4 linked regions of the Astyanax mexicanus genome follow. The protein of the gene in region 2 interacts with the protein of the main gene of each other region in a pairwise test. Links are inferred from orthologs where the notes say so. Each region holds a gene or a part of one and is shown on either strand. Other genes may lie near its edges.

Region 1 (8,039 bases), on a different chromosome or scaffold from region 2:
ACCCATCCCACCATCCCACCAATCAGCAGCTAGCTTCCTTCGCTTAAAAACCCCAAACATTTCACATTTCAAAAATGTTTAAAAAGTTTCCCGCACCAGAGTGCATTCAGTTCAGTGAGGAGCAGCCGCCAGGCTAACTGATGTAGTAGTGTGTTCTAGTGAAAGTCTTTCGCACGAGAGAGTCATTTGCACACCGCGACGGTGGTGAAGGCCGTGGACTCGTGGCTCAGACTGTGCAGGCGAATCTCTGCTCCGTCCGCGGGGGGCGCGTTCGTGCTGGAGCTCTGCATCCAAGGGTGGTTGACGAGGTCTTCGAAGGACGGGCGGTCGGCGGGACGCAGAGCCAGACACCACTTAATGAGCTGCTGGCATTCTGTAAATATTTAATAAGAGAGAAATGATCAGACATATTTATATATATATTTTGTTTATATTTTATTTATATTTACTTATATATTTACTCATATAATAATAAGTCTTACCAGTCGAGATCCTGCGCCTGAAGAGCACCTGGCCGCGGACGATCTCCTCGTCTTGCTCGAAGGGGATGTCTCCGCAGACCATGTCGTACAGCAGGATTCCCAGAGACCACACCGTGGCTGACCTTCCGTGGTACCGATGGTATTTGATCCACTCTGGAGGACTGTAAACGCGTGTACCTATACAAAAAAATATATAAAGAAAAAAAGACATTAAAAATCTATATCACAAAAACACAAAGTCTGTAAAAACACATATATTTCACTTATATTTGAAGAAAAAAAAAATAGAGATGAATAAACAATATCATTTATATATATAAAAAAAAAAAAAAAAAAATATATATATATATATATATATATATATATATATATATATATATATATATATATATATATATATATATATATATTATATTATATATTAGAAAAAGAAAATGCACAGGTGCTTAAGGAAGAGCTGTAATATATGGCATATATGTTTACAAAATATGGGCAGGCAGCAAGTTGTTCAGGTTAATCTGTGCAGTCATGTGCTCCGTAGCATGACAGTAGGTGGGTGTGTGTGTGTGAGAGAGTGTGTAAGCGTGTGTGTGTGTAGACCGGTTGCCATGTGACTTGTGTTTACAAACTTTGAGTTGTAGCACTACCGCTTGTAGCCACAAGGGGCGCTGCGGAATCACAACAAAAGAGCTCCTGCGCCTTTTTTTCAAGGCAAGGCAACACAACCCAGCACATTAATAATAAGGGCAGGTTTGTTGTGTGTCAATTCTTCCCATGAAAACGTGAAACATGAAAACAAACGCGTGAGAGTTGATTTTTTATTTTTTTTTGTATTGATATAGATCGCTCCAGTACGTCACGTGCATGCGTGTGATGGTCAGGTTTTTTTTTTCCCCCTGTTGTTGTAAATAATAATAATAAAAAAAGAAGATGAATGCTATACTATACATACACTATATATATATTATCAAGCTGGGATTAAGACGAGGGCGGGGGAAAAAAAATTAAAAAGGGTTCTACGGTCTTAAGCTTGAAGGTCAAAGGCTTTAAAGATACAAACTGATACAAATGTAAAGGGGATCTTTTTTATTTTGTTTAATCTTTTCTCAACAAATCTTTCGTTTTACGCCAAAGCAAGCTGCAAGATTGGGTGGGAAAAGGTAGAATAGGTAAAACTAGTACAGTAGCCTAGTAGGGTAGGTTATAGTAAGGTAGGTTAAAGGGTCTTGCCTTCCATTTTTTATTTTCTTGATCATTTACAGAAACATACAGGAGGCAATGGCTCTTACCGTCAAAGTCGGTGTACACCGTGTCCTTGAGAAGAGCTCCGGACCCAAAGTCGATCAGCTTGAGCTCTCCACTACGCAGGTCAATCAGAATGTTCTCGTCCTTGATGTCTCGGTGAACGACGCCGCTGTTGTGGCAGTGCCTGACCGCCTCGAGCACTTGGCGGAAAAAGCTGCGTGCAAGCTCCTCGGGCAGAGCTCCCTTTTCCGTGATAAAGTCGAAGAGGTCTTTCGCGTTTTCCGGCCTTTCCATCACGATGATGAAGCTGTCGGGGCGCTCGTACCAGTCCAGCATCTTGATCACACCTCTGAAACCGGTGCTGACCTTCTTCAGAAGGACGATTTCCATTGGTACACGAGCTCCTGTGATGGGCTGTGGAAGATTCAAGAGATTATAATAGAGATTAGACATCATATAAATAGGTATATAGATAATTATATAAATAATTATTGGATAATATTATTAGTAGCTTACCAATTCTCCCCATTCGGTCACACGATCCTTCGCCACATGCTTGATAGCAACCTGTAATATATATAAAAAAATTTAAATAAACATAAATTATAAGAAACATTATAGACACCCATCCATGCACAGCTATGGATAATATGGATAATAATAATAATAATAATAATAATAATAATAATAAAAAATCAAAACAAAAGCCTTAAGCGAATTATTTCAGTTCACACCCACCCAAACAAACCGAATTATTTAACATATTCAACAAAAAATAAAAAATAAACAAACAAAAAAAAAACCTACCGGCGCGCCATCGGCTATCCGCAAGCCAGCGTACACCGTGCCGAATCCGCCGCTTCCCAACACGGATCCGACCTGGTAAACCTTCTCAAACGGCTCCTTCTCCTTCACTGCAATTCGAACAAATGCAAGAAATATGTTAAAAGATGTGAAACAAGCTAAAATGTCTATATTTCCTATGTTTTATTTAAAGATTTAGGTGATTAAACACCAAAAAGTTATAATCCATTCCTGGATTTTGCTCCGACCGCCTGGGCGGCTCTGCTGCAGCAGCGCTGCAGCAGAGCCGCCCAGGCGGTCGGAGCAAAATCCCGGGACGGATATTCAGCTCAAAACCCACAACATAAGGAAAATATCCGTCTTCTAACCTGGATGAAGCTGAATTTTTGCAGGCATATCCACGGCAGAGATGTGAGCGAACGAGTTGAGCTTGGACAGAAGCATTTCTTTCCTTCCTTGAGCTTGTTTTACTTGAATAATCCGTGAGAAGAAGTTTAATCCGTTCCGCGTTTAAAATCCAAGCCTTTCTTGTGGAAGCCAAAAGAGCACGACAAAAACGAGCTTCTCATCCAGATTAAAGCTCTGAAGTGCGGCTCAAAACGAAGAATAACCCCAGAAAAGAGTCATCAAGTTGGTATAAAAACAAACACAAGCGCTGAAGAGCTGGAAAACTGTGAAATCGTTGTCCCGGGCGCGCTACTCACAATAAACACGCCGGCTTTCTGAATCGTAAAGGCGGGGCAGGACCGCTTATATACCCGTAGTAGCGGAGCGCGTGCGTCACGGCTCGCTCCTCCCCTTTCCCGGGCTCGTCCAATCGCTAAACGTCAACGGCACGTCTGTCAAGTATGAAAATGAAGCTTGGCTGGCCGACGTGGCGGGAAACAAAACGCGCCAAATGTTCACGAACCGGCATATAGGGGGAGGGTAGGATAAAAGAGAGGGAGGAAAGAAAGAAAGAAAGAAAGAAAGAAAGAAAGAAAGAAAGAAAGAAAGAAAGAGGGAGGGGGCAATAAGTTCATATAGCAGCTTTTGTTTTGTTTTTTTTCTCTCTTTCTCAGAATGAGGGCCAGTTTCGCCAAAGTTGCAGACATCTGCTCCTTTCCAGTAGGGGAACGAGGACCTTCTCACCTTCTAAGAACCTCGTGGACACTTTGGACGCAAACGATTCAGTGTTGGACCTGATATGCATAAAAAAATTAAATAAAAAATAATAAATAAAATGTTTATTTTTTTTTTTTTATTTGAAGGTGTTTAGAGTGAATTTGGTAGATTTTATGTTTTTTATTTTATTTGAAAGAAACAAACTAAGAAAATGTCTAATTTAAAACCAAAACTGGGAAATATTGAGTCTTAGTCAAAACCAAGACAGACAGACAGACAGACAGACATATATATAGATACCTTACTGATCCCAGAAGGAAATTCTAAACATACAGTAGCAAATATACATAGCACACATATATTACAAATGAAGGGTAGGATATAAAAGTACGATAAAATATACAGAATAAACTGGAATATATTGAGTCTGAGTCAAGACCAAGACTGGGACATATTGAGTCTGAGTCTGTGTCAAGTCTATGTCAAGAACAAAACTGTGACATATTGATTCCGAGTCGAGTCTAAGCCAAGACTAAGACTTGGACTTACTAAGTCTGAGTCAAGTTTCTAAAATTTTATTTTGAGTTTACGTAATTGCTTATAATATATATATATATATATATATACTTAAATGATAAAAGTAAACAAGGAATGTTTTTATCATGTTAATTTTAATTCTAAGTGTTTTTAGACTTTGCTTTAAAGTTGTTAAATAGTACTTATTGTATAAATTGTCTGCACGCTCCTTTTTACCCTATAGTCTATAAAACAAATGCAGTCGTTTTTTATTTATTTATTTTTTTTTTAGGTCCTGTTTCATTGTTTTATGCACTTTGGCTCCTCCCATTTACACTAAAGTTGTGTGGGAGGAGTGAATCATTAATATGGGTAAACAATGCCGTTTGTCTGATGTTGACACAAAATGTACAATTACGAAACCTTGGGTAAAAAAAAAAAAAAACAAAGAACAAAACAAACAAAAGAAACAGCCTTAGACAATGTTATGGCTCACATCAATTCTCCAACCTGAGTCATTTACCTCCACTCCATTGTTTTTAAGTTAAAGTTTTGTGTATCAGGGGAGATAAAAGAAAGTGGGGGTGGGGGGTGGGATTTGGGTTCTGAGTCAATGAAGATCTTCACCAAACAAAACCTCATTAATCTCAAATTAGTGCTCTGAAGGTTTATTCCCTCTTGGCGAGCCGCATGCTTTATTTAGCCGGGGAACAATGGCGGTCACGGCACCGAGGCAGCAGGGAAAACGGGCACATACCAGGCATTCTTTCAGATTGGGTGGCCGCGTTCAGACTCGGTGGCAGGATGTGGGAAACTGGAGATAAAAAGACATCCATTTACCCCCGCCGCCACCTCCCTCCCCCTGACTACCCCCACCCCGCACTTGTGTTTTCCCGCGCTTATTATTGTTTGAATGGTTAATGCACTCTGTGCCCTCTACCTCGCTGCCCCCGGTCTCCCCCGGTCTCCCCCGGTCTCCCCCGCCCCTTTATCCAGCTCTCAGCTTGTGTCCTCCCCCTAATAGAGGGGGCTACTTTTTCTTAAAGGGGAAATTCCACCAGTTCTTCAATGGAAGTCACTCCATAGTTAACGCTGGAATGTGGAGAAAGGTGTTCAGAGTGGGGTCAGTGGGTTTCGCTTCCCAGAATATCGCTGCTGTCCAATGAAAAACAAGTATCTCCATTTTTGTAGATTTTTAGTTCGCTACACAATTTGAACAGACAAACTGTCCCTAAAACTGTGCCAAAATGTATTGATGAACGGACCAATAGAAATACTTGACCTAAAAAAAATGACCTAAATGAAATAAAGAAGTTGCTATTTTGGAGAAACTTGGTTTTAATTGGACAGCAATGATATATATTCATATATTAAACTATATTGGGCAAATGTTTTGAAACACTCATTACTGTAAAGAAAAAAAAAGATTTTTTTTTTTAAAGTCATTACTCTGTACGTAAAAGTATATTTTGGATACTTAGATAAATTGAAGTATCAACTCAAGCTTTTTACTCTTTAAGTAAAAGAATAAAAGTACTGGTTTCAGTTTTATAGTTACATTTATTTCCAAAACACTCTAATGTAAGGCTTAGCTTTGGGGAAAAAAACATGAGTTTACTTTAAAATGATGAGTTTCCAAAATCAGTGTGTAAGACTGGTGGAGAAGAAAACATGCCAAGATACAAAAAAAAAAAACTGTGATTGAAAACCAGGGTTTTTACACCAAATCTTTGCATTATTTGAGGTCTGAAATCTCTGCTTTTTTTTTTTTTTTAGTTTTTAGTCATTTCAGCCGTTTCTCATTTTCTGCAAATAAATTCTCTAAATGACATTAAATATTTGTATTTTTGGAGGAATTTGGGTGAAATGTTCTCTATTGTATAGATTTTACTCAAATGTATACCTATAAATAAGTCTCTTAATTTTAAACAAATTTCAGCATTTGCATACTTACACACAGCACATTCACACTTTCATTATAATAACTATAGAGAAATTACAGATGAAGCCAGAGAGAGGTGATCACTGTTTCCTACACCTTTAAATGAAGAATCTGGGAGGAAACTGGAGAAAAAACACTGCAGGAAGAGTCACGTCTGGCTGACCCACATGGCTACAGCAGCTTTATTTAGCCTTTAGCTCAGATTAAGATGATTAAGGACTAGAGTTGGTCTGACAGGTGAAGAAGTGCAGTAATAAAGTCATTGCTGTGTTTGTATGCTGAGAATGATACCCGTGGTGGTTCTGTGAGTTCCTGACCGTTACAGAACCGGGTGAAATGAGGATAGTGAAGGATGCAGAGAACAGCGCTCTCCTGCTCAGCAGAACACAGAGCAGAATTAGTCAGAAACACTGTGTGAATCTGGACCTGTGATTCTCCCCTGTGGAGAGAGTGTGTGTACGTCTGGCACGACGCTCTCATCCGTGAGTCAGTGCAGTCAAACTGAACAAAAACAGGATGCTGAGAGAGATCCAAAAACAGATCATTACTCAGCAGCGCGGCTCAGCCCGAGCTCGCTATGAATCATTCAGACCCGCGCTTCATCTGAGCTGTTGCCATTTTTGAGGTGAGCGAATTCAAAGCGAATGAAAAAAACCCAGATAAAAAGACTCAACAGTGCAGCTGGGCATCTGGAGGGGAGCGTGGGGCGTGCTGAAATCAGCTTTACGTGAATTATCCAGGGACTATTCTATAAAGGTTTTTCATTTATAGGTTTATGTTTGAGTAAAATAAACATTCTATAAACATTTCTCCCAAGCCCCCCCCCCCCAAAAAAAAATTGTCATTAAGAGCATTTATTTGCACTAAAAATGAGAAATTGCTCAAATAACAACAACAACAAAAAAAAAAAGATGCAGAGCTTTCGGACCTCAAAAAATGCAAAAAAAAAAAAAGTTCATAATTATATGAAGTTTTAAGAATTCAGAAATCAATATTTGGTGGAAAAACCCTGATTTTTATCACAGTTTTTTTTGTAATGCATCTTGGCATCATGTTCTCCTCCTCCACCAGTCTTACACACTGCTTTTGGATAACTTTATGCTGCTTTACTCCTGGCGCAAAAAAATCAAGCAGTTCAGTTCAGTTTGGTGGTTTGATGGTTTGTGATCATCCATCTTCCTCTTGATTATATTCCAGAGGTTTTCAATATACAATAACAATACAATATACAATACAACTTTTTTTGTACACAATTTGTACACTTGATTTAGATTTTTTTTTCAGTTATAGACTGGAACTGAAGAGCTTAAATGGTAAAAAAAGAAGAGAAAAAATGGGGATGTTGTAAAACTTGTATTTTTTTAGTAATGTATGTTTGAATACTTTGTTATTGACACAACAAATACAAAATCAGTTAAAAAAACACACAATTGAGACATAAAAAATAAAGATTTAAGTCTAATTAACTCAAGGAATTACCCTAAATTACATATAAATTACTGCTGACCAGCAAGCCTCCTATTTGTGCTTTTGGGCTGCAACTAATGATTGCAACTGATTATTTTGGTAGTCGACTAATCTGATGATTATTTTCTGATTAGTCGATTAGTCAACGATTATTTCTGCCATGTCCTTCATCTCTAAAACGGTAGAAACAGCTGAACGTGAGATTTAAAAGGAATTTAAAGGTATGAATGTTGTTTAAACATGGAAAGTACTGATATTTTGTCAGTCAATTTTTAATCTGTTGAGTTTGGGCACTTTTGGAGACATAAATTGAGTTGAGTCATTTACCCTTTATCTCCCGTTGTGGCACTTCTGTTCTCAGCACTTTGTGTAATGCGGTGCTGTTATGAATGAATGATTAGTCCTTTATAAAATTTGCATTCGACAAATTTAAATAATCCACATTGTCGATTATATCGAATAATCGTTGCAGCCCTGGT
Region 2 (7,823 bases):
TTTATCACATATATTTTTAAGTTTAATTTAAAGGACATACTGCATTGCCTGATCTCAGAATATCCGAGTTTTGTAAAGTTACTGTAGCTTTAACTCAGAGAGACCTGTTGTATTTCACAAAGAACAAGAAAAAGAGGATTTTAGCGGAAAGAGATCTTTAAGAAAAACTGAAAGAAGGAAAGAAAACACTAAAAAATCTGAACACTAAAAGCCTTGCCCTTTAAAAAAATTCTGAGAAACCTGCTGCACATACTTTATAAAATTCTTTCAGTCTCACTCAGCCGTCTGCTTCCTCAGAACTGAAACTAGCCCTGTCATAATGACTATTTTAAGTGGACAAATCAGAAATTTTACTGACGTAATGATAATCAAATAGCATAACTAAGCAGAATGACTTTTAAAAATCGGCTTGAAATACTATACGGGTTGAACAATGAAACTGAAACACCTGGTTTTAGAGCACAATAATTGATTGTGGTGACGGACAGTTCTGGTGGAAACAGGAGAGTTGAGGTGCACATTGAATTCTGCGTGATTTGATCAGCCGTAGTTTTATGTTTTTTGGATACAATCCGGGTTATCACCCGAACATCCCTTTCAGACAGCTTCCTCTTACAGCATCCACAGTTAATCCTGTTGGATGTGGTTGGTTCTTCTTGGTGGTGTGCTGACGTTACCCTGGATACCGTGGCTCTTGATGCATCACAAAGTCTTGCTGTCTTGGTCACAGATGCTCCAGCAAGACGTGCACCAACAATTTGTCCTCTTTTGAACTCTGGTATGTCTCCCATAATGTTGTGTGCATTGCAATATTTAGAGCAGAACTGTGCTCTTACCCTGATAACTGAACCTTCACACTCTGCTCTTACTGGTGCAACGTGCAATTAATGAAGATTGAACACCAGGCTGCTCCAATTTAGCCATGAAACCTAAAATCCCGCACTAAAATGATGACAGGTGTTTCAGTTTCATTGTATAACCCCTGTAGATAAGCTGTATTATAGATGAGCAATGGCTGCAACTTCAGGTAGCTAAACAAATCCATTAGACTAATGGGCTTGTGACATCATGGGCCCTGCATTGTTTAATATCGCGATATATATTGTTCAAAATTATATTGTGCAGCCCTAGTATGTTCTTCACCCAGTAAATCAACTAAAATAAGCTATTTAATATTTAATATTGATATAAAGAACAATGGCGACAACATCTTTTCTGGGTTTAGTGAGAAAAGTAACAGCAGACAAACTCAAACCTGTTTCAGGGATTTAGCAGAAGAGATTGTGATGATTCTGCGTTACTGACCTCATTGATTGCACAAGAAAAAAAAAACAAAAGAACTGCTTTTGTACTAAAATAATAAGAGACTGTCAGAGTCGGGGCTTGACTCTACTTGTCTCGGTGCTCATTCTTAATAATGGTGAAATTCTGGCCCAGCTAAATATATTCCAGTAATCCAGATATCTGGGGTCATTTTCTCATACAAAAATAATGAAATAATCTCAGTAAACTTTTAGTCCAACATAACCAAAATCTGGGTCTGGTTTAGTTAAAATTTACTAGTTTTAACTTTATTCCTTAATAACAGCAATATATTACCGCTAATTCTTACTTTCTTTTTTCTTTTATCGCTATTTATTTATTTATTTATCTTTGTATATTTTTGGGAAGTAGAGGTGCGTAAATTGGTTTAAGCTGTATTTTTTAGAACTGAGCTTGATTGCTAACAGTATAAATGTCCAGGATTCCTCCATAATCAAAATAGGATTTCCTATTAAAAAAATGTTTATATAGCATAAAGCTCTGGAAAAAAAATAAGCGAGCTCTTAAAAATGATGAGTTTCTTTGATTTTCCCAAATTAAAAACCTCCAGAATATAATCAAGAGGAAGATGGATGATCACAAACCATCAAACCACCAAACTGAACTGCTTTTAAAAATAATTTTGCACCAGGAGTAAAGCAGCATAAAGTTATTAAAAAGCAGTGTGTAAGACTGGTGGAGGAGAACATGATGCCAAGAAAAAAAAACTGTGATTAAAAACCAGAGTTTTTCCACCAAATATTGATTTCTGAACTCTTAAAACTTTATAAATATTACATTTTTTCTTTATATAATTTGAGGTCTGAAACCTCAAATGTTGTCTGTAGTTTATAGAATAAAACAACAATGTTCATTTTACTCAAACATAAACCTATAAATAGCAAAATCAGAGAAACTGATTCAGAAACTGAAGTCCTCTCTTCATTTTTTACAGAGCTGTATATCTATGCCAACACCTTATTTCAGTATAAATGACTGGAAATAAATGAAGCTGGAAATGCGTAGCTATGTCTTATCTCTTCTATCTGTCACCCATCAGCACCACCTACCCCATTCAACCCCCCCCCCCCCCCCTTACCTCTGGTTTGCTTGTCTCTCTGTACCGGTTTAGTTTAAAGTATGTACAGCCATAGGTGTGTGTGTGTGTGTGTGTATATACATGTATATTATGGTTGTCAACATTAACACGTTAACGCATACAGGTAATCTGGAAACTTTAACACATTCCTTCTCTCTCTCTCTCTCTCTCTCTCTCTCTTTTTTAATGTAGAATATGGAGCTACATTAGTGTTTATTTTCTCCATTTCAACTCTCACAGTTAAACTCTGTAACTCAGAACATTACACTTTCTAGTTTAAAAAGCATAAAAAATTCCCTTAGATAATACAGTAAAACTACCCTGAGATATTATAATACCGTAAATAATAAGATCTAGTCTGCCACTTTATAACATTATTTCTTTTCCCCTCTTAAAAATACAGTTAAGTACCAGCATTTTAAAAAAAGGTAATCACAATTTTATCTGTGATTTATCCATTTTTAAGGGATTGGCACCAATAATACAAAAGTAAATGTGTCTAACATTTGAATCTTTTACTCGCAATTAAATACCCATTGTCTAAACTTAAGGAAGAAATTTAAGTGTGATTAACTGTGATTAATCACATTTTTTATCAAAATGACAGGGGATTAAATTATGGCCACATCCTGGACAATTATACTGTTAGTTATTGTAATAGCTGTAGATGATTTTCTTTGATTTTACCAAATTAAAAAAAAGAGGAAGATGGATGATCACAAGCCATCAAACCACCAAACTGAACTGCTTGAATTTTTACACCAGGAGTAAAGCAGCATAAAGTTATCCAAAAGCAGTGTGTAAGACTGGTGGAGGAGAACATGATGCCAAGATGCCAGATTTCCAGACCCATTTTTAAATGACATTTTTTCCCTTTTTGTTTAAGGACAGAGTGTACGCAGGCGCGTGCACAGGATATTATCATAACCATCAGCTGGAGCGCGCGCTCCTCGTCTTGTCAGCGCTTGCCTAAAACATAAAAAAGTGGATTTTTGCTGGCTGTTCTCGCGCTCAGGAGAAATAAAACTCTACATTTAATGAAGTAATTAAGTGAACTCACCTTTTCTCTCAGGTGCAGCGGAGCACGCGAGGCTTAACACGGCCAGGTAGAGGAGTCCTGCAGCGGCAGGTGACATTTTAATCAGGTAACTGCGTGTTTATCTGGAGGTGTCCTGAGCGCGTGCTTGGGGTGGTACTCCAGCAGGGCGCGCGCAGGGCGTTTGGAGGCGGCGCGCGGGATCAGCACTGCTCTACTGGTCAGGGCTGTTGTACGGGGCAGATGTGACGTGTGCCGCTCCAGAGGTGTAATCTGCGGGTTACTACAGCGCATGCGCAATAACAAACTGTCACTGTCCAATGAAAAACAAGTATCTCTATTTTTGTTGATTTTTAGTTTACTACAATATTTAAACAGATAGTCTCTAACACTGTGTCAAAATTTATTGATAAAAGAACCAGTAGAAATACTTAAAAATAACCTAAAATAAAAAATATTTAGAAAATTTAAAGTTGCTGTTTTTTAGATACTTGTTTTTCATTGGACAATGACGAAATACTCATGGAAAAGAGAAAATAGAGCAATGTAATTACTGACAGCTCCAAAACTTTAGAATAATCTTTCACTTTTTATAAAGAACTCAATCACAGTGGATATTTTTAACCTTCCTTTTATGTTCTGGGCAAATGAAATGTATTTGTTTTTATCTTTTTTTAGTACCTGCATGGGAACACCACTGCTGTTCACATTTGTTGATACGTTTGAAATAATTTTATAACATTTTGTTTTGTTTTCCTATTTTAAAACGGTATTGAAGGATGGAGAATAAACATGGCTATTCCTCTGCCAGAGACTATTTAAATCACCTTAAAATTCTAAAAAAAAAGTGTCTGGGACACTGTTTAATATGTATACTATACACTGAGAGTACCATTACATTATACCAAACAATAGATAATCTGTTTGTAAAGTGTAGAAAACACAAAATTAACAAAAATGAATTATATTTGATCTGTTTATCCTTTAAAATCAGTCATATCACACCTGGGCCATGTGCTAGTGGAGTGTGGAGAGTGACCTCTAGTGGTCGCTGGAGGAACAGCACACTCGAGGACGGTGTAGATAGATAGATAGATAGATAGATAGATAGATAGATAGATAGATAGATAGATAGATAGATAGATAAATAGATAGATAGATAGATAGATAGATAGATAGATAGATAGATAGATAGATAGATAACAAATTCATATTCATAAAGATTTAAGAGTTCAGAAATCAATATTTGGTGGAATAATCCTGGTTTTTAATCACAGTTTTTTTTTTTCGTGCATCTTGGCATCATGTTCTCCTCCACCAGTCTTACACACTGCTTTTGGATAACTTTATGCTGCTTTACTCCTGGTGCAAAAATTCAAGCAGTTCAGTTTGGTGGTTTGATGGTTTGTGATCATCATCCATCTTCCTCTTGATTATATTCCGCAGGTTTTTAATTTGGTAAAATCAAAGAAACTCATCATTTTTAAGTGTAGCCATCATGTTTTAAGCTACACATCAAGAGATAATTGTTGCCTCCCTTCAAGATAATGACTCCGCCTACTGCTTACATAATAAACAGTGCACACAAAGAACCACAGATCTCAGGAACCATTAGACCCAACTTAGACCTGAGTTCAGTGACTCACGCTCATCATCAGTCTGCTGCACGTTTACTGCAGGTTATGAAGCCAGGCAACCACCCTGCATTAATACAGAGCCGTAAAAGACATGTGGTTTCCAGGACGCTGATTAAGTCGAGTCAATAAAAGAGGAATTTTGATGAAACACTGGTTCAGGTCAGGATTAAAACATATTTTTTCCCAGAAAATGTTCCTGCTGCATTAGTTAGTTAGTGCAGCATTCATGCAGAAGAACATGGCTATCTTCTAAACAATAATAGAGTATTGGTATCAGACCCGTATCAACAGGGCAAGCAAACCAATCAATTGCCTATATAGGGCCCTGAGCTGACCTTTAGAATTTTTGTGTATTTTATTGCTAATTTCAAATTTTTATCTAATCTTCTTCCCAATTTACAAGGCCAATTACCCAAGAAGACCAGCACACGCCTCCTGCGACACATGTGAAGTCAGACTCCGCCTCTTTTTGAACTGCTGCTGATGCTGTAGCATTGCCGAGTAGCATCACAGCAGCTCTAACGCTGGGAATAAAGGGCAGCGACTCGGTTCTGATACATCAGCTCACAGACGCAGCCTTGTGCTGATCCACATCACCCTAGGAGTGATGAGGGTTAAAGAAAGAGCGCCATCTACTGTGAAAAACAGAATATGTTTTATTTAGTTAGATTGTTATTATTGGTAAAAAAAATAAAAAAAAAACACCCCCAAATCCTCCCCTGTTCCACCAATGACTGACTGCCCCTCATGCTGAACAGTATGACTCTCAGCAGGAAGTGCTGCTAGTTTAGTGGGTTTTAGTGGGTGTTGGGTCTTTAGGGAGTGCTAACTTTTAGCCTTAGCTTTTAATAATTGCTAAATTAAGCAGTTTTCCAATTGTATTAAATGGTATTTTATAGTTAGTTTAATTAGGCAGTTCTAGTACATACTGCTTTACTGCATTCAGAGTGTAAAAATATACAGATCTAAATATAACAAAGACAGAAGAGTTTAACATTGCGTATTTAACTCAATATGAGTTCAGTGATATTTAATTGATATGTTTTTTAAAATGCTCTAGTAAATATACATGTGGAAGCCGATTCCCTCTTAATATTAACTTTATAGGAGAGAGAAAAAACCTTCTTAACTTTTAATAGAAGTCAATGTAAAAAGAGTTTATTTCAGGTCATTTAGAAGAGTTTCTATTGGTTCGTTCATCAAGAAATTTTAGCACAGTGTAAGAGACAGTTTTGCTGTTCAAATTATGTAGTAAACAAAAAATCGACAAAAATTGAGATAAGTGTTTTTTACACTGGACAGCGAAGAAATATAAGCTGTGATTGGTCCAGTCAGAAATACAGTGTGTCACGTTTTTTCATCAACATCTAAAGATGTATTAATAAAGTACTGATATTAAATAAAGAATAAAGGATAAAGAATCGCTCACATGTAAATGAAGTAAAGCTGATTGGCTGTGAGAGAACTAGAGTGGGTATATGCAGGTCTTTTTTAAGACTAAGAATAGTCTGCAGCTGGTAGAATAATTTTAGATGGTTGGACAGTCCCCACCGCCCCAGGCAAGGTTACAACCCTTCAGGCAGGATCATCTTCCTCTGGTTGCTAAGAGATTTAATCCGACTATAGTAACTATAGAATCTGTTCTCTTATCTCTGTTGATCGATTGATGTAGTACTGAAAAGTATTTCTGTTAATAGCAATGATGCGCGACAGTATAGACAGTGTAGACTAATAGTCACTGGAGTATTTATATACTCCTTCAACTTTTTTACATTTTGTCTCAACCACAAACTTAAATGTGTTTTATTGAGATTTTAGAAAGTGGTGCATAATTGCGAAATTGGGGGAACAAAATTAAACGAAACACCCATGGTCACTCTGGAGGAGCTGCAGAGATCCACAGCTCATGTACAGATCAGGAGAATCTGCAGGAGAACTATAAGTTGTGCACTCCTCAAATCTGGCCTTTATGAAAGAGTTGTTGAACATTGTTGAAAGAAAGACGAAGTAAGAAGTGCCGTTTGCAGTTTGTAGCCACAAGCCATGTAGACGAACACAGCAAACATGTGGAAGAAGGTTCTGTGGTCAGATCAGACCAAAAAAAAAAGGTTTAAGGCTTTTTGGACTAAATGCAAAGCGCGGAAAACGAACACTGCTCACCATCCCCACTGTGAAACATGGTGGTGGCAGCATCATGCTGTGGAGATAAGCTTTTCTTCAGCAGGGACAGAAAAGATAGTCATAGTACAGGGCAATCCTTGAGTCCTTATTTTGCTATTTATAGGTTTATGTTTGAGTAAAATTAACATTGTTGTTTTATTTTATAAACTACGGCCAACATTTCTCCTGGCTGAGGGGCTGAAATAACAAATAAAAGATGCAGAGCTTTCAGACCTCAAATAATGCAAACAAAGCAACAAGTTCATATTCATAAAGTTTTAAGAGTTCAGTGGTTTTTAAACACAGTTTTGTTTATGCATCTTGCAATTATATTATTCTCCTCCACCAGTCTTACACACTGCTTTTGGATAACTTTATGCTGCTTTACTCCTGGTGCAAAAATTCATTCAAGCAGTTCAGTTTGGTGGTTTGATGGCTTGTGGTGATCATCCATCTTCCTCTTGATTATATTCCAGAGCTTTTATGATTTTTTTTTCCAGAGCTATATATATATATATAATTTGGGAAAGCACCAGTTTATTTGCATGGGCTGGCAGGGATTTACATCATAGCAGCTACATGCACGTCT
Region 3 (7,921 bases), on a different chromosome or scaffold from region 2:
TTTCTAACTTTCTTTCTTTCTTTCTTTCGTGCTTTCTTTTTTTATATTTTTATTTAGACTATTTACCTTTCTATCTCAATATATTTGTCTTTCTTTTCCCTCTCATTCTCCCTTTGTTACATTTCTTTCTTAATTCTGTTTTTTATTTTATTTTATTTACTGTTTTCTTTTCTTTCATCTCTTTTCTTTTTCGTTTCTTTTTGATTGTATTTTTCCTGTCTTGTTTTCTGTAATTAATTTATTTAATTGTTTATATCTTTTCTATTTATTATCTCCTTTGTTCGTTGTATTTTTATTATAATTTCATTATTTCTGTTTTTTTTCTTTCGTTCATTTTTTATTTCCTTTCTTTTCTTAATTATTATTTTTTTTTCTTTCACGCCCTTACCTTCCAGGACTCCTAGTAAGACAACCCCCAGAAGGAGATGTGTCTTCACAGTCCCCATGGTCACTCAGATCCAGTTCAGCTGGAATGAAAAGGGAAAGCTGAGTTATGCGTCTTGTAACTTTAGACCTGCTGATTGTTTATAAAGTAAAATGCTGCAAACGAAATCATTTTTCTGTGTGTTTTATGCTGAAGGCAGCTGAGCCTGTGTATCACATTCAGTCCGCTATGTTTTTATTAGCTGATCTCTTCACTCGGTTTGAGTAAAAGAGGGACTTCCCTCCGGTGTTAGATCAGCTCTAATAAAACCTGCACTGAATCGTCGGCTGGAAAGCGCGCTGCTGGACAGGCTCTATCCTCAGGTATGCCTGTAAAAACGTTGGTCGGCGCTGAATCAATACGAGGATGCCAATATTTCCTTTTCGGAAAGCGGAGCTGATCGTGGGATCGTGATCACAAGGGGGCGACAGAGTACGAGATTTAACAGAGCGGCCGACTCAGCGCAGATTGTCTGCAGACAGAGGGCTGGAGTTAAGAGAGTGACATAAAGCACTTTCAAATGTTTTTTTATTCTTAAGTTTTATTTTAATCGAATCTTAAAACGTGTTCACACTTGTGTTTAAAATTCCGTTTCCTCAGAGTTCAAGTTCCGAAGTTCCACAAATACGGTTCTTCAGAGTTTCTTCACTGTAAAGAGTTTTTTTCCACCATGAAGAGCCTGTTTGTTCCATGAAGCAGTTTACATGGCATGGAAATCCATTTTTGCAAAGGCTTTGAATCTTCCCAATTCCAAAGGTTTTCACGTCTTTCAATGCGTTCGTTTTTTGGTGGTCTCTATCTCTTCTCCATGACTTTATCTAAAGAAGCCTCTGCTTCTGCAGCTTCTGCAGGCGGACTTTTCTACAGTGTATGTGTGTGTGTAACGGGAGGCACGCGCGTTATCTGGCTCGCGTGTCCTAGAGAGCAGGAGCGCAGAGAGCTGATGTAAAGCACAGCTTCTTGTTTTTTTTCTTCATGAGTTGGTTATAGGATATTGGCTTTTAGTCTACAGCCTAGACTGCCGCTGTGTCTCATAGAGTAGATAGAGCAGCGATATCTAAGGCTATACGAGATGCACACATTAATTAATAAAAAATCACGTAGTGCTGTGTTTTCTAATGAAGTCAACTTCAAAGTTAGAGTAAAGTAGTAAAGAGACATGCAGGGGGCGCGGGGGGTCCACCTCCTGTTTTACTTTACTGCCTCCAGACGCCACTGTGCCGTTTGCTCGAGCTCTCCTGTGCGCGCGCGGACGGGGGGTAATCACCCCTGGCCAATTACCCCTGCAGAGACGGGCTGTAATTACGCGATTAGACGAGCCCTCTCCACACTACTGCAGCGTCTCGCGTGGGAATCCGAGAGTGTATCCAGTCTCCATACATTACACATACACGCACTCCTAACGTGAGTGTGCGCAATCAGCTCAGACACAGATAGACAACAGATAGACAGATGCGCTCGAGCGCTCCAAACGTTGCGGATGTGCCACCGTGGAGCAACAGCTGAGCGCGAGCAGGGGATCACAGCGTCATCCGTCCCGCTCCGGCCCCGTCCCACGCGCGCACAAATGGATTTCCATGGGAATGTTGTAGGGGGTAGGGTGGGCTGGAGTCCTGCAGCAGCCTTTTCTGACCAGCATCCAGAGTCGTCCAACTGTTGCAAAGAACTTTACACACGTTACGCACGCCCAGAGCGCGTGTTTTAACGCATAAAGTAACTCTGTAGGCCAGATGATGCACGCACTTATCCATACAGGTCAAAACAATAAACGCAGTAATCCAGATGCATGATATTCCATGTAGTCCTCAAAGAGGGTAGGAAAAGCAAGCAAGAATCCGCTGGAAATGTGTTTGTCATTAGTTTGGACTGCAGGCCATATGGCAAAGATACGAACAGCCGTGTAATTCGCGCTAAGTTGAGCAAGGTTTTGCGCGCAAATCAAACCAAAAAATAAAGGGTAAAGTTCCTTCCATCCCGCGCATCCAGGAGACAGACCGTGTTGGAGTCACTGCAGGGGAGTTAACCGCGCAAAAAATAGGCTGCTTAAATTTTGTGTAATGATGGGCTTTGGTCGAGGAAATGCTCAGTAATCCCTAGGGTCCTGTTTTTCTTAGTAATTAGCCTAATTAAAACTGTTCTGTCTGTGCTGCAAAGAAAAAAAAATAAAAAAAAAAGTAAAAAAAAGAAAAAAGAAGGAAAAAGTTCACAAAAAGGAAACAAAAAAGTGAAGAAAAAAGCTCCCAGCTTTCATTCTTCAAAAATGGGGAAGTTTTTCTACTAAAAAAAAAAAACAATACAAAAACAGCACACTAAAATAAACCCAAAATATAATATATGGTTAAAAAGCGACAAAATTTATGAAGCTTTTCTTTCTTACTAATTAGCCTAATTAGCCTTTAAACGTTTCTATCCTGTCTGCAGCTACAGTGCCTTGAAAAGAAACCAATTAGTCTCACTAAACCAATTTACCCACACAATACCTTTTCTCAAAATCCTTTTGTCGTTCCCACTTGACCATGGAAAGAAAAAAAAGAAGTTGAATAGCTCCAGTAAAGTAGTCCAAAGAGGGTCCTCAGTCGTCCAGCTCCACTCTTCTTTGTGAGTGTGTGTGTGTGTGTGTGTGTGTGTGTTTAGTGTCCTCTCAGAGTCTCCTGCACTCTGCGTTATTCCTCCGCTGTTCTCCTGACTGCTCCAGCAGCGCTGCGCTCTAACTCTGCCTCACTCTTACAGTCCCATCCTTCCCCAGCCAATAATCATCTGACTCTGAGTAAATAGCTCTGAGGAGGAGCCCCCTCCCTCCCGCAGGACTTTTCTCCAAAATAAAAGTCCTGTATTCACATCTGTCGCGCGTATGTTTTTTTCTTCTTCTGGAAGTCTGAGAGAGCGCCTTTTGTAGAACAGAACACACAGAAGTCAACTGAAAGAGAACACAGTAAAAGTGTAGGCAACACAAACATCAAAGATGCACTGTTTTATGTTCTATGTACATTGATTTTTAGATGTTTGAAGATTTTTTTTAATACAGTTTAAGAGACCCAACATGCATAATGGTTCCCCCAGGTTGAAAAGTGCGTTTGCTCGCAATCACTACCTGCATTAATAGCAATTATTATAACACATACGATTAAAAAAAATGCTGATATGAGATGGTTTGGTTTGATTCTATTTGGTGTATGGGGCTTTGCAGGGCTGTACAGAAATGAGTAACGAGAAACTCCGCAGTGTGAAAGTCTACACTCAACAGAGGGCGCTCTAACATCACAAACTGCCTCACTTTCATTATCCCTGTGTCTCAGCCTCTCTCTCTCTCTCTCTCTCTCTCTCTCTCTCCCTTTCTCTCTCTCACTCGACACCCTATTTCCTCCCTGTCTCTCCCTAAATGCACCCCATCCCTTTTCCCTCTCTCTCTTACCCCTTCTGTCCTCTTCTAATTTCTTCATTCTCACTCAGCCCTTTATTTATGATTCAAGATTCAAATTTATCCTGCCTCTTTCTCTCTCTCTCTCTCTCTTTCACTCGACACCCCATTTTCTCCCTATATGCACCCCATTCCTTTTCTCTCCCTCTCTTTTACCCATTTTAGCCTTTTCTAATTTTTTCATTTTCACTCAGTCCTTCATACAAGATTCAAGATTCATATTTATCCTGTCTCTCTCTCTCTCTCTCTCTCTCTCTCTCTCTCTCTCTCTCTCTCTCTCTCTCTCACTGGACACCCCATTTCCTCCCCGTCTCTCCCTATGCACCCAATTCCTTCTCTCTCTCTCTTTCTCTCTTTTACGCCTTCTGTCCTCTTCTAATTTCTTCTCTTCTTACTCAGTCCTTTATTCATGATTCAAGATTCAAATTTATCCCACCCCTCTCTCCCTCTCTCTCTCTCTCTCTCTCTCTCTCTCTCTCTCTCTCTCTCTCTCCAGTCTGGTTTAATAAACTGTCCTTAAAGAACTTACACTCTTCACATAATCTGATTCCTATGATAACACAGCCGCAGCTCGGCTGACTATTCTCTCAGCAGGATGACCTCTAAAGTTGTACAAGTTCCAAAGTCACCCCACACCCACTCAGCCCCACAACACTCCACTCCGCAGAGCCCACCTTTTTGCCTCATTGCCCAGCTGACTGACCCAGACCCCGGGGCCAGACTCAAGCACTCCCCCACCACCACCTCCCACGCTATCCCGCTCTGCCCCCCAGCCCCCCGTCTTTGGAGGAATCCGCCCCGCAGCGCCTCCTCGCTCGGCCCGCTCGTCCACAATGACTTCCACATGTTGCTTTGCAGCACGAGCGCGCAAAAAGAACAGAGTGCCTTGTTCTCCGGCACAAAGCAACCTAATCTCGGAGCCTCGATCTGCTCCACCATCCTCTCCACCTTGATCCCGGGGAGCAGCTTGGAGCAATTTGAACACACTGAAGTGAGCGGCGCTGCGGCCAGCAGCGGTTCTGCATGCTTAACTCGTCTGGCTCTGCTTTTATCTCTCTGAGAATTGCTCATTACATGCCTTTGTGAGCAAAATATTCAGAGCAACAGGCTCAGAAATAGACCATTATTATTAAACAGGTCTTGAGCTCAACCACTTACAAATACAGGTCGCATTAAGCGTTCTTTAAAGCAATGCCACAACCACATTTGGTGTCCCGAGGAACCCTTCAAAGGGTAGATATAAAAAAAAATGTTAAAACTGCTGTTGCAAATGACTTATATTATTTTTAGAGAGAAATGTACATTTCTGCATTTGAAAAAAACGTTTTTTAAAGATGTTGTGTGAGTATGACGAACCTTTTCAAAGAAGATACATCAGTTTAAAAACCTTATTAAAGAATACACACAGTACCAGTCGGTTTGGACACACCTTCTCATTCAATATTTTTCTTTATTTCTTTGTATAATGTATTTTCTAAACTTTAGATTAATATTAAAGACACATATGGAATGACGTAGTAAACCAAAAAAGTGTTTGTTCTCCACAATCCCCTGCCCTCCACAAAAACCATCGGAGCTTCACAGCGTGAAGGAAAAGCAACAACTATTGTTCAGCACCTCCAGAAACTCCTTCAAGATGCTGAGAAAACTATTCCAGGTGACTCTCCCTCATGAAGACACTGAGATTAAAATACCAAGAGTCTGCAGATCTGTCCTCAAAGATAAATGTGCTACTTAGAAGAATCGAAAGTTTAAAACATATTCTGATTTGTTTAACCTTTTAGTTTACAAAATAATTCCACATGTGTTCCTGTATGACTTTAATGCCTTCACTATTAAATTTGCAATGTAAAATTATTATAAATTAATGAGAACAGGTGTGTCCAAACTTTTGACTCGTACCCTATGTCTAAAAAACCTTTAGAAAGGATGCGTTGGTTCGATAAAAAGGATGTGTAAGAAATCTATAAAGAAGAAGTCTAAAAAACTTTTAAAGAAATACAAAGCTTTTATAAATGTTAGTCTAAATAACTTTTTGTTAGAGAAATTGACTTAGTTTAAGTAAACCCTTAAAAAAAATATAAGTCTAAAAACAACTTCTTAGAGATACTGTGCAAGCCTAAAGGACCATTTTAAATGAGCTGTAATGGTCTAAAAAAACATTTTAGGCAAGAAGCATTAGTTTGAAGTATTATTTTGTAGATGTATGAGTCTGAAGAATCTTTTTATAGATATAAATATTTTATAGATGTATCCTTAACATACTGCAAAACTTAAAACACATTGAGAACTAAGCCAAGAACCTTCAGAACTTTTGCATTCTATCATTTTTTTTATTTAGTCTCACAAAACAATGATCTAATTTCTCTAAACAATCTCTCTGAACATTCTCTCTGCCGGTGAAGAAGATCTTAACATTAAGATGCTTTGGGAAACTTGTCCTAAGAAACTGATTTTATTCCATGTCTGCAGCCTCACCTGTTTTGGGTCTCCAGTCTTAACTTCGTTGTTTGTTTTTCTTTCTCCTCACCAAGAGTTTTGCTGCTGAAATATTGTGTTTTATGTATGTTATGAACTGATCACATTGGGAGCCTGTGAGGGACAGCATTTAATGTAATTCAGCATGACTTACTGGAAGCGTCTGTTCACCTTTAACTAGGGAGGAATGTGGGCTATGGGACGAATGTGCATGCTGGAGGGGCCGTGGGGACTCCAGCTGTGGCATGCCAGCTTGTCTGGCTTCTGAATCTAGATTACACACACATACATTCACACACATACACATACACAAACCTGCACACAAAGTCTGTCATTGTTGGGTATTTAAAGGCTATAATACTGTAATTAAATGCTGTTTTACTTCCGTTATACTTAAACTTAAAATCATTTAAATAAAGAAAATGCAAAGCAGTTTTAATAAAACAACTTAATCTCAGTGGGACAGAAAGAAAGAAAGAAAGAAAGAAAAAAGAGGGGGGACAGAATAAATGAATAAAGAAGAAACAAAAAAGTAATAAAAATAGCATATATATATATATATATATATATATATATATATATATATATATATATATATATATATATATATATATATATATATATATATATATATATATATATATATATATATATATTTTAACACACTCTAGCTTATATATGAATTGTACATTCATTACACGATATTTACCAAAGATCAAAATTCAGAAAAGGGTCCCTTGCAAACTAACTAACATAAAAATGAACAGGTAGACAAATAAAACAAATGCTGAAGCTGCTAACTGCTAGGACTGATAATACACCTCATAGAACTGCCATTTTCTGAAAACACATGTTAATATCCTGTTAAATTGATCAAATATGCTTGTAAAACACTCTAAAAACAACTTAGACCATCTAATTTATTTAACTATTTATAACATAGCTGGAACACAGTTGACTAAAACAGCACACTTAATTTCTGCATTTATTCGATTCACAGCGCAACTAGGTGTATAAACATGGACTAGTATGGTATATTTAAACTAGTTTAAAGTGATTTTGGTGAGACAGAAACCATGACTTGCTTTCACGACTGCATCTCTGGTCTGACTTTGTGGGTGTCACATTTACATGTGCATTGAACTCTGTTACTGAAATTTGATCATGCATTCTCCATTTAGCCACCACACGGTGGCGTACACACTCATTTTTCCTCCATAAACACGCACATACACACACACACTGAGAGAGAGAGAGAGAGAGAGAGAGAGAGAGAGAGAGAGAGAGAGAATTAGTTAAGGACTCTTGAGGGTCATTAAAATAGACTCAAGATAAGTTAATATAAAAACAAACCAATTAAACCATATTAAAGTCATCAGTACAACCTACAACATCACAGCACCTCTACTGTTACACTGATTGTGAACTACTACCGAGAGTTTGCTGACAGGTCATTATTAATCCACTTCTCTGGACACTTTATTGATTGTGATAAAGGCTTGAAAGCAGAACACATTTACAAATAACCAGTTGATTTTATTAAATAAATCTAAGTTATAAGGTGCACCATTGAATCATATTTTACAGCACAGCATGTAATT
Region 4 (8,037 bases), on a different chromosome or scaffold from region 2:
GGCAGGAAGATAGGTTGGCAGATAGATAAACAGATAGACAGGTAGGTTGGTATGTAGGCAGATAGATAGACAGACAAACATGCAGATAGATAGATAGATAGATAGATAGATAGATAGATAGATAGATAGATAGATAGATAGATAGATAGATAGATAGATAGATAGATAGATAAATAATTTGTATGGGAGCAAATGTAGCAATAATCTGAGATTGAGAGGAGAGAAAGAGAGAGGGAGGGGTATTGATTGCTGCCTCTTTAAGTGGAGGCTATTGCTGCTGCTGCTGCTGCCGTTGGGTGAAGAGCTTTTTGAATGAGAACTCCTCCTCAGACTAACAGCTGCAGTGAGGTGTGTGTGTGTGTGCGTTCGTGTGTTTGTGTGGGTGTGTGTGTGTGCGTGTGTCAGGGTCTGGCTCAGAAACCAATCAGTGACACCACAGATACTGAGGCAGGCTTTCAGTGGGGCTGGAACAGTGATTGTGAATGTCTAGGAGATAAACAGGACATACTGATACCACAGTAAAACACCAGTGTCACCTCCTGATACATAGACACACTAAACACAGCTTACTGTGTGATAAAAAAAAAAACAGGAAACAACAGTGTCACAAACAACACCAACCTATCTATTGTTTCTGTATGTCCCTAATAGACACATTTACCATATAATTTCTTCTGAAACTGAGAGTACAAATAGGGAACAGACTACACTAGATGCTGTAACATTGCTAAGAATATTAGAATGCTTTCAGCCTCAGGGAGTAGGGATGTCCTGATCAGGTTATTTTGCAAATTATCTGTGTCAGTTTATATGATCCAATGTGATTTGGGTTTGTATAAATAATAACAGCCATGCAGTTTAGATCATTCTGAAGTACTTTTACTTTGTTTTAGTAACATTTTATTTAATAAGACTTCTGACTGACCAGACTCCCTGACCATTTAGCTCCCAGTTCCTTTGAAACACTGCAGTCAAGTCACTTTTGTGTACATCTATGTGTATTCAGGTTTATACTCCCTGGACTGATATCTGTTAATTCCACACTGCACACTAGTTCCACACTAACTAAACTCTTTACTGTATTTACCTTCTGAGAACTCTCCTCAGTGCAGTCGACTGGGCGATACTGTCCACTACTTGCTATGAACACTGTGGTTAAACCATAGACTTAGAATTGGATTTGGACTCAAATAGCTGATACCTGATCCATTTAAACATGCCTGGATAAGATCGGGACATCGATATTAGTGAGTATAGTGGGGTATTTACATTTGATCATTAGGTCTGGATCACAAACATTGCTTCAAATAATCCCAAAGGTATTGGATGGAGCTCCAACCCTGTAGATATTCAGACCTACTGCTCCCAGTCTATCTGTTGATCCTCAGCTGATGATTGTGACCTGGTGGTATGGAGGCCTCATGTGCCGCTCCAGAGCATCCCAGTCTGTTGTCAGGGCTATATAAATTCTGTGTGTGTGTGCATTTTAACATCTTATGTCAGCACTGAGTGCACCTAAGTAGCAAGTAGTTGGATTAAGTAATTAAAAAAGGCTGCCTGGGTACTTTCAGACATTCATGGCTGGTTTCCCGGACAGGGATTAAGCCTAGTCTTTGACTACACAGAACTCTGAATTAACATTTTTCATTAAAAAGAAAATATAATCCATAGCTAAGCTTGATCCCTGTCTGGCTGTTGTTTATGAAACAACATATAGTCAATAGAACAGCTTCCTGTTTACTGTTAGTGTACCCAACTAAAGTGAGGATAGAGCTAATTAGTTTATTACTATTAATACTGTTACTACTAATGCTACTACTGTGATTACTGTTACTGCTAATACTGTTAAAAATGTTAGTAATACTTCATACTATGATTACCACTACTTCCACTAATATTACTATAATTACTAATATTATTAACCATTTAGGTTATCTCCTAGTAACTAATACTGTAACTACTGTTACTGCTAATGCTATTAGTAATGTTACTAACACATCCTACTACTGTTAGTACTACTTTTACCAGTTTTGCTACAACTGCTCCTATTACTACTACTTCTACTACTACTGCTACTAATACTACTATGTAAGTACTACTATTACTATTGCTACTGTTTTACTGCAACCACTGCTATGGCTATTACTACTATTTCTATTACTCTCACTATGTTCACAACTACTGCCACTATTACTATCAATACTGCTACTTTAAAACTACTTTAAACTACAACTATTAATGTTATTACTACAACTACCGCTTACTATTACTACTTCTATTACTATCAATACTTATAAATCAGTTGACATTTTAAATCCTTTTTTTTTACTATGTATCATATGTATAAATAGTAGACATCAGACTACACGGAAATCATATTGTCCCAGCCTAATCATTTTTCATTATACCTGTCACAGGTGGACAAAGTGGACAATGACTAGGAGGACAATTTTAGCAAAAATTGACATTTGTTGAAAACATGTAAAGTGACTGATGTCACGGGTTCTTAAAGGAGGATTTATTCCAAGCTTGATATGGTTTTATGAAAACTGAAATAACTGAAGAAAAGTCTAAAGTATTTTTTTTAATCTTCAAAACTAAGAAAATAAAGTATAAAACTGTGTTGTTTAATCTCATTTTATCTTAACTAGGCAGCACCGTGAACATGACAAAAGAACACTGTAATAACTGTAATAAATGCAGAAAAAGTATTTTAAAGAGTAGCTTTCCTCTATGGTTGTAATAATTTGTTAATGAGTCTTGAGAAAGTGCTGGTAGATTCTGTGTGTCTCCAGAGCACAACAACCCTGCAGCAGCTGGAGTTATTTATGTACAGCCTCGAATATGAACCAATGAACTTTCCAGAACTCGCTAGAATATTTCTGCCGCTTTTTCCCGTCACATTTCTCCTCCCAGCTCCAGCGCACTGTCCTCTGATTGCTCTAAACCAAACCGCGCTGAGCGAAACAACCAATCAGCGAGAGGATGAATCTAAAGCGATGAGAAAAGTCACAATGCGCGAACCCGGCGTTTCGCTTTCCCATGTATAGCGGGTTGCCAGATTTGCAGGTGAAATAACACGACCGTTGATTAAAGAGAAATTGTGGAGCTTTCTGTGTACATTAACTAAGTGTACAATATAAAAAGCAAATCATTAATGAAGTGTAGGTGTAAATAAGTTTAATATATGTATGTTCTGTTCATTGCACATATCAGAAACACTGCTTGTTTGTGTTATTCAGCTTTTAAATACAAAAGAATCAAAAGTATCCACATTTTAAAGTATCCACTCATTTCTCAGGTGTCCATTGAAAATGAACGTATTTTAGTACAATGTAAATATATTAAAGAAGCTTAGTTGGGACATTTCGCTCAAGTGTGGCGTGATGTGCAGCTGCAATGGATTAAGTATAAACCAATAGCCATGAATCATTACAAATCCTGTTCTACCTTTCACTCTGCAAACTTTCCACTGCTTTATGTAATAAATATGTAACACAGTACTGTACTTTTAATTTCATTACTTGGGTAGTACTTAAGTACATAAATGATGGCATATCAACATTGAATTAACGTTGGTGTTATGCTTCAACCAACGTTGGATTTGGTGTTTATTTTAAAAAGTGAATAAATGTTGATATGGCAATGTTATTTCAACGTCGAACGTTCAACCTTTAATAAAACTTAGCTCATATTCGGGATGCTTAAAATTGTATGGAAGAGGGAAAAAAACTGTATGCCATGATGAAATTAACAATTTTATTTGTATTGCTGACTACCCAAGGCCAGAGTAGTGAGAGGGGCCCATGATAATCCAGATTTTTTTTTTCACGTGTACTGGCATGGATAGGGGCCCACTGACATTGAGAGTGTACAGGGCCCAGAATTTGAAACCATTTTTTCATCCTTCCATCCAAACATTTTTTTCAATTGTATAGTGATTCAATGTAAAATACTAATTCAAAAGGCAGAAGGTTGAGGACATTATGTTGATTGAAAGTTAAAATTTTATAGATATTTTAAACAGATATTTTTTAAACCATATTTCGACCATATTAAACCTGATTTCAACACTGAAACAATAACAACAGACAGTACTTCTATCATATTTCAACCATATTTCAACCACATTTCAACGCTGAAGGTCGGTTGTGTGCCAGTTGGGGGGTTAGCACTAGGTGGGCGATATGGCTCTAAAATAATATCACGATATTTCAGGGTATTTTTGCGATAACGATATACTTGCCGATATAGGAAAACAGAAATAATTCGTTAATTTCAGGAATATACTATAATAGTTTAACAGTATAATCATAATGTGGCAAAATAAATAACATAGCATAAAATAATATAATGCAGCAAAAAAAATTGCAGAATATTTAGTGCATGCATATAAACTGCAAACTAAAACAATTAAACAATACATTCACTTAAAGCTTCACAGTAAATAATGGACTACTTTTAAGACAGAACATCCCTATTATCACGATATGGATTTTTAATATCATGATATTTCTGTGTCACAATATATTGTATTTGGATATAATATTGCCCACCCCTAGTTAGCACTTCTACTTCTAAGTGTGGAGCTTAAAAACACTTTAACTTCTAATCAAGTCACCTTTTAAATAGAGCACTTGTACTTGTTTTATTATTATACATGTCTGTTTAAAACAGACAATTATGCAACATATGTGAGTCACGGAGGGATATTTCAGTGCGACATGGCAACCCAGATGCTGGGGTATAGTCATATTGAGCGGTGGGCGGCGCGTCTCCACTGTCGTCTCACAGTAGTTTCTGGAACCTCATGGTTACACCATGGAGAAAGTAAGTACCACTTCAGCCTGGGAATTAATTATATTCCTGCTGAGAAAATAGGAGATATATATTCTGTGGGGAACAGCATATACTTACTGCGTGTTTCTGCAGTTAGCTGAGGGGGGATTGTGTCGTGGTGTGAGTGGGCTGGCCAGTTAAACCCCAGCTAAGTTCGTTAGCGGCAGTTAACATTAGCCGGTGAGCTAGCGGTAATATTAGCTAAGCTAGCTGCTGTGTGACAGGCGCTGCTGCAGCGGTGCTCATTGTTAGCTCCGGTGCTAAGTTTATGAGCATGACTAATAAAATAAAAGCCAGTTATTGGAGTTATTCCTCTAGTTTATGTTTGGCAGTGCTGTAGCTCATTTTTATGGCACTGTTGTTTCGTTAACGCAGCTGTCTGACTCGTATTAGCAGCGTAACTAAGCAATTAGCTTAGTTCGCTAGGCTAGCTGTAAGTGCCTAGCTTAGCCTAGCTTAGCTTAGCCGGGGGAGGCTTTGCAGAGATGAAGCTGTAAGCTAGGTTAGGTGCATAAGCACTGCGACAGTTTATAAATGTCCCCTGTTGCTCTGATATAACATAGCTAACTATATCTATAATAAATGTATAGCTCTAAACAGAGTCGTTTTATATGGTTTTCTGTGGATAAAACACTTAATTCCTGCTAGTCTTGTTAACTTTTCTAAACGAAGTTGACCAGAAGTCCAGGTTTAGCTGATTAATTAACTTTATCTGTTTAAATTCTCCACCTTCTACTTTTCCTCCACTTGATTTGTTTCTGTCCTGACGATGTCAGATAGTTTACACAGGGTATAATTTATTTCTTTACTAGCAACACATAGCAATATAGTTACTGTGCCAAGTCCTGCTGGAAAATGAAATCCGCATCTCCATAAAAGCTGTCAGCAGAGGGAAGCATGAGTTATGTAAGACCAGCACCAGCAGATGACATGGCTCTCCAAACCATCACTGACCCATCAGTAAATTAAGCATTTAATTTGGAAATCAAGGGATCAGAGTCTGGAGGAGAAGTGGAGAGACACACAGTCCAAGCTGCCAGAGGTCTAGTGTGAAGTTTCCACAATCAGTGATGGTTTGGACAGCCATGTCTTCTGCTGGTGTTGGTTAGCTTCTCCACCTTCTGCTTTTTCGCCTCTTGATTTGTTTCTGTCCTGAGAATGTCAGATAGCAAGATATATGATATCGATCCTCTAAAAAAAGGGAAAAAAGAAGAGGAAATGACTGAAACCAATGTAAAGTTGATACAATTGTTCATCCCTAATACTAGGCACTAGTAACTAGTTTTTGAGTATGAAGATTTTGTTATAGTTAGTAGTGTCCTTGTATGGGCAATATTTTTATCCCAATTGCATATTAAGTGCTAATACAAACTCATATTTTTTAAATAAGGAATGTCAAAACAATGTATAGCCCAAGATATATATATTTTTATAGTATTATTAGTATGTAGTTGGGACACATCCTTAGTGTTGAGCAGTCTGGTATCAGTGTTGTAAGGTTTTAAGAATAGTAAGAACAGTTTGAGCGTATGTAGTATTATTAGTCTTTAACCACATAGACAAGTCTTTGTCATGAGTTGTGAAGACTGTAGGTGTTACTCTCCAGCCTGTAGATCAGCTGCTGTGACTGCTGTCAGTGGTTGTCTGTCAGTGACATTTGTGACACTTAGCTAAGAGCAGGTCTGTGTGGTGTGGCAGCTGACTCTGACCACTCTGATTTTTGACCACCACCAGTAAGCATTTGAAAATCAGTGGTATTAATAAGAATTTTTTCACTATTTGTTGCAGCAGAAGCCTTTACTTAGATTGTGCAGTAGATCACATTCCTGTGAGGATTGGATTGCATTCAGCCACAAAAGTATTAGTGTGGTCAGCTCATTATGTGTGATTTAGTAGGTCTGGGTCCCAAACACTGCTGTAACTCTTCTCAAATGTAGAATGCTGTTCTGCTGATCCACAGCCCAATGCCTGGGGTTTATACTCTTGTGGACAATGTTTGCTATTTGTAATCTGGTGGTATAGTGATGGCATGCTGCTCCAGACTTACCCATTTTAGCTTTTCTATGAAGATCTAAAATCTATGAAGATTAAAAGTTACCTTTACACATTGTATGATCTACAATCTTAAATCTGTACCTGATGCGCAGTTCTGAGATGATGTGGTGCTGCAGCTTACCCTATAAACCATTAGTGTGAAGAAGAGCTTTTTTGTGTGTAAAGTTGGGCGATGCTTTATTATCTAACCACTGTTGTGCTAAGTGAGTTGTTCTCTCTCTCACTCGTAGGTAGCTCTTCTTAGTTACATAAGAATGAGTGTATATATGAATACCTGAAATGTCACAAATAAAAAGAAACTGTGTGGACAGAAGTACTGGGACACTTTCCATCCATTGCTGTTTCAAAATCAAGAGTATTAAAGAGTTTTTTCTGACTTTGTAAGAGTAATTGTCTTTTAATTGCCATTTATTGACAATACTTGTTTGGTTAAGGAGGTCATCCAAAATTACAGGATTGAGCATCATGATTCCAGAAATCACAGTTTAATGGAGGGATGCTTTATACCCCTCTTGCCCGTGCCTGATATAAGGCATGGTGCCAGTAGGTTCATGTTTCTTCTCTAGAGACTTCTATTCTATTGGCTGTACTTTTCTACAAGGAAAAAATAAGCCGTGTGTGCACAAATAATTATGCCAACACACCTTGCCTTGCCATGAGTCATTGGTCACATAACATGCTGTAATATAAGCCAAATGCCATTAATGTAAATGTTAAGTGTGTCTTTAAAAAAAAAAAATAGTGGGTCAAGCACTGTAAGGTCTACGGGCAGATACTTCTAGTGGCTGGCCTGTTTAAATTGCAGTGCAAAAGAGTCTCAGCATCTTCCACCTGCTTCATGTTGTAATGTACATGGAGTTCTGGTTGAGTGCGGGACAAGCTGTGTGTTTCTGTTGCCCTAATACTTAAATTCTGCTGTTTTTTTATTTCTTTTCTGTTTCTCATTCTGTTTTTAAACCATCTCTAAGCAGTACTGAAAGTTCTTATCTTTTAAGTAAGAATCTGGGCAGTTAATCACTTAATCAAATCAGTCAGTGTCCTAATAAAGTATAGAATTGAATGTTTTTTAAAAGGTTTACCCATTACTATGCTCTTTTTCCCTCCCAGGTATCTCAGCTAAAAGACCAGGGCAATAAGGCGCTG

Evidence for each region.
Region 1: the proteins of epidermal growth factor receptor (region 2) and pim1 interact in a protein complementation assay, tested with the Homo sapiens proteins (3 studies listed by BioGRID and IntAct, with this or other methods). The link is inferred for Astyanax mexicanus from reciprocal best matches to the Homo sapiens genes EGFR and PIM1.
Region 3: the proteins of epidermal growth factor receptor (region 2) and pdgfra interact in binary tests that used the Homo sapiens proteins (3 or more experiments, as listed by UniProt). The link is inferred for Astyanax mexicanus from reciprocal best matches to the Homo sapiens genes EGFR and PDGFRA.
Region 4: the proteins of epidermal growth factor receptor (region 2) and stip1 interact in binary tests that used the Homo sapiens proteins (3 or more experiments, as listed by UniProt). The link is inferred for Astyanax mexicanus from reciprocal best matches to the Homo sapiens genes EGFR and STIP1.

What each region holds. Positions count from the first base shown.
Region 1 is NC_064419.1:2,571,192-2,579,230, forward strand, and holds the start of pim1 (serine/threonine-protein kinase pim-1), read right to left. Parts: upstream 3,252-8,039; 5' UTR 2,976-3,251; coding exon 2,900-2,975; intron 2,642-2,899; coding exon 2,535-2,641; intron 2,295-2,534; coding exon 2,244-2,294; intron 2,142-2,243; coding exon 1,772-2,141; intron 660-1,771; coding exon 483-659; intron 374-482; coding exon 183-373; 3' UTR 1-182. UniProt on the Homo sapiens protein: Proto-oncogene with serine/threonine kinase activity involved in cell survival and cell proliferation and thus providing a selective advantage in tumorigenesis.
Region 2 is NC_064413.1:1,351,666-1,359,488, reverse strand, and holds the start of epidermal growth factor receptor, read right to left. Parts: upstream 3,698-7,823; 5' UTR 3,538-3,697; coding exon 3,462-3,537; intron 1-3,461. UniProt on the Homo sapiens protein: Receptor tyrosine kinase binding ligands of the EGF family and activating several signaling cascades to convert extracellular cues into appropriate cellular responses.
Region 3 is NC_064408.1:64,427,914-64,435,834, forward strand, and holds the start of pdgfra (platelet-derived growth factor receptor alpha), read right to left. Parts: upstream 3,176-7,921; 5' UTR 2,906-3,175; intron 470-2,905; 5' UTR 447-469; coding exon 389-446; intron 1-388. UniProt on the Homo sapiens protein: Tyrosine-protein kinase that acts as a cell-surface receptor for PDGFA, PDGFB and PDGFC and plays an essential role in the regulation of embryonic development, cell proliferation, survival and chemotaxis.
Region 4 is NC_064408.1:21,487,560-21,495,596, forward strand, and holds the start of stip1 (stress-induced-phosphoprotein 1), read left to right. Parts: upstream 1-4,745; 5' UTR 4,746-4,821; coding exon 4,822-4,830; intron 4,831-8,001; coding exon 8,002-8,037. UniProt on the Homo sapiens protein: Acts as a co-chaperone for HSP90AA1. Mediates the association of the molecular chaperones HSPA8/HSC70 and HSP90.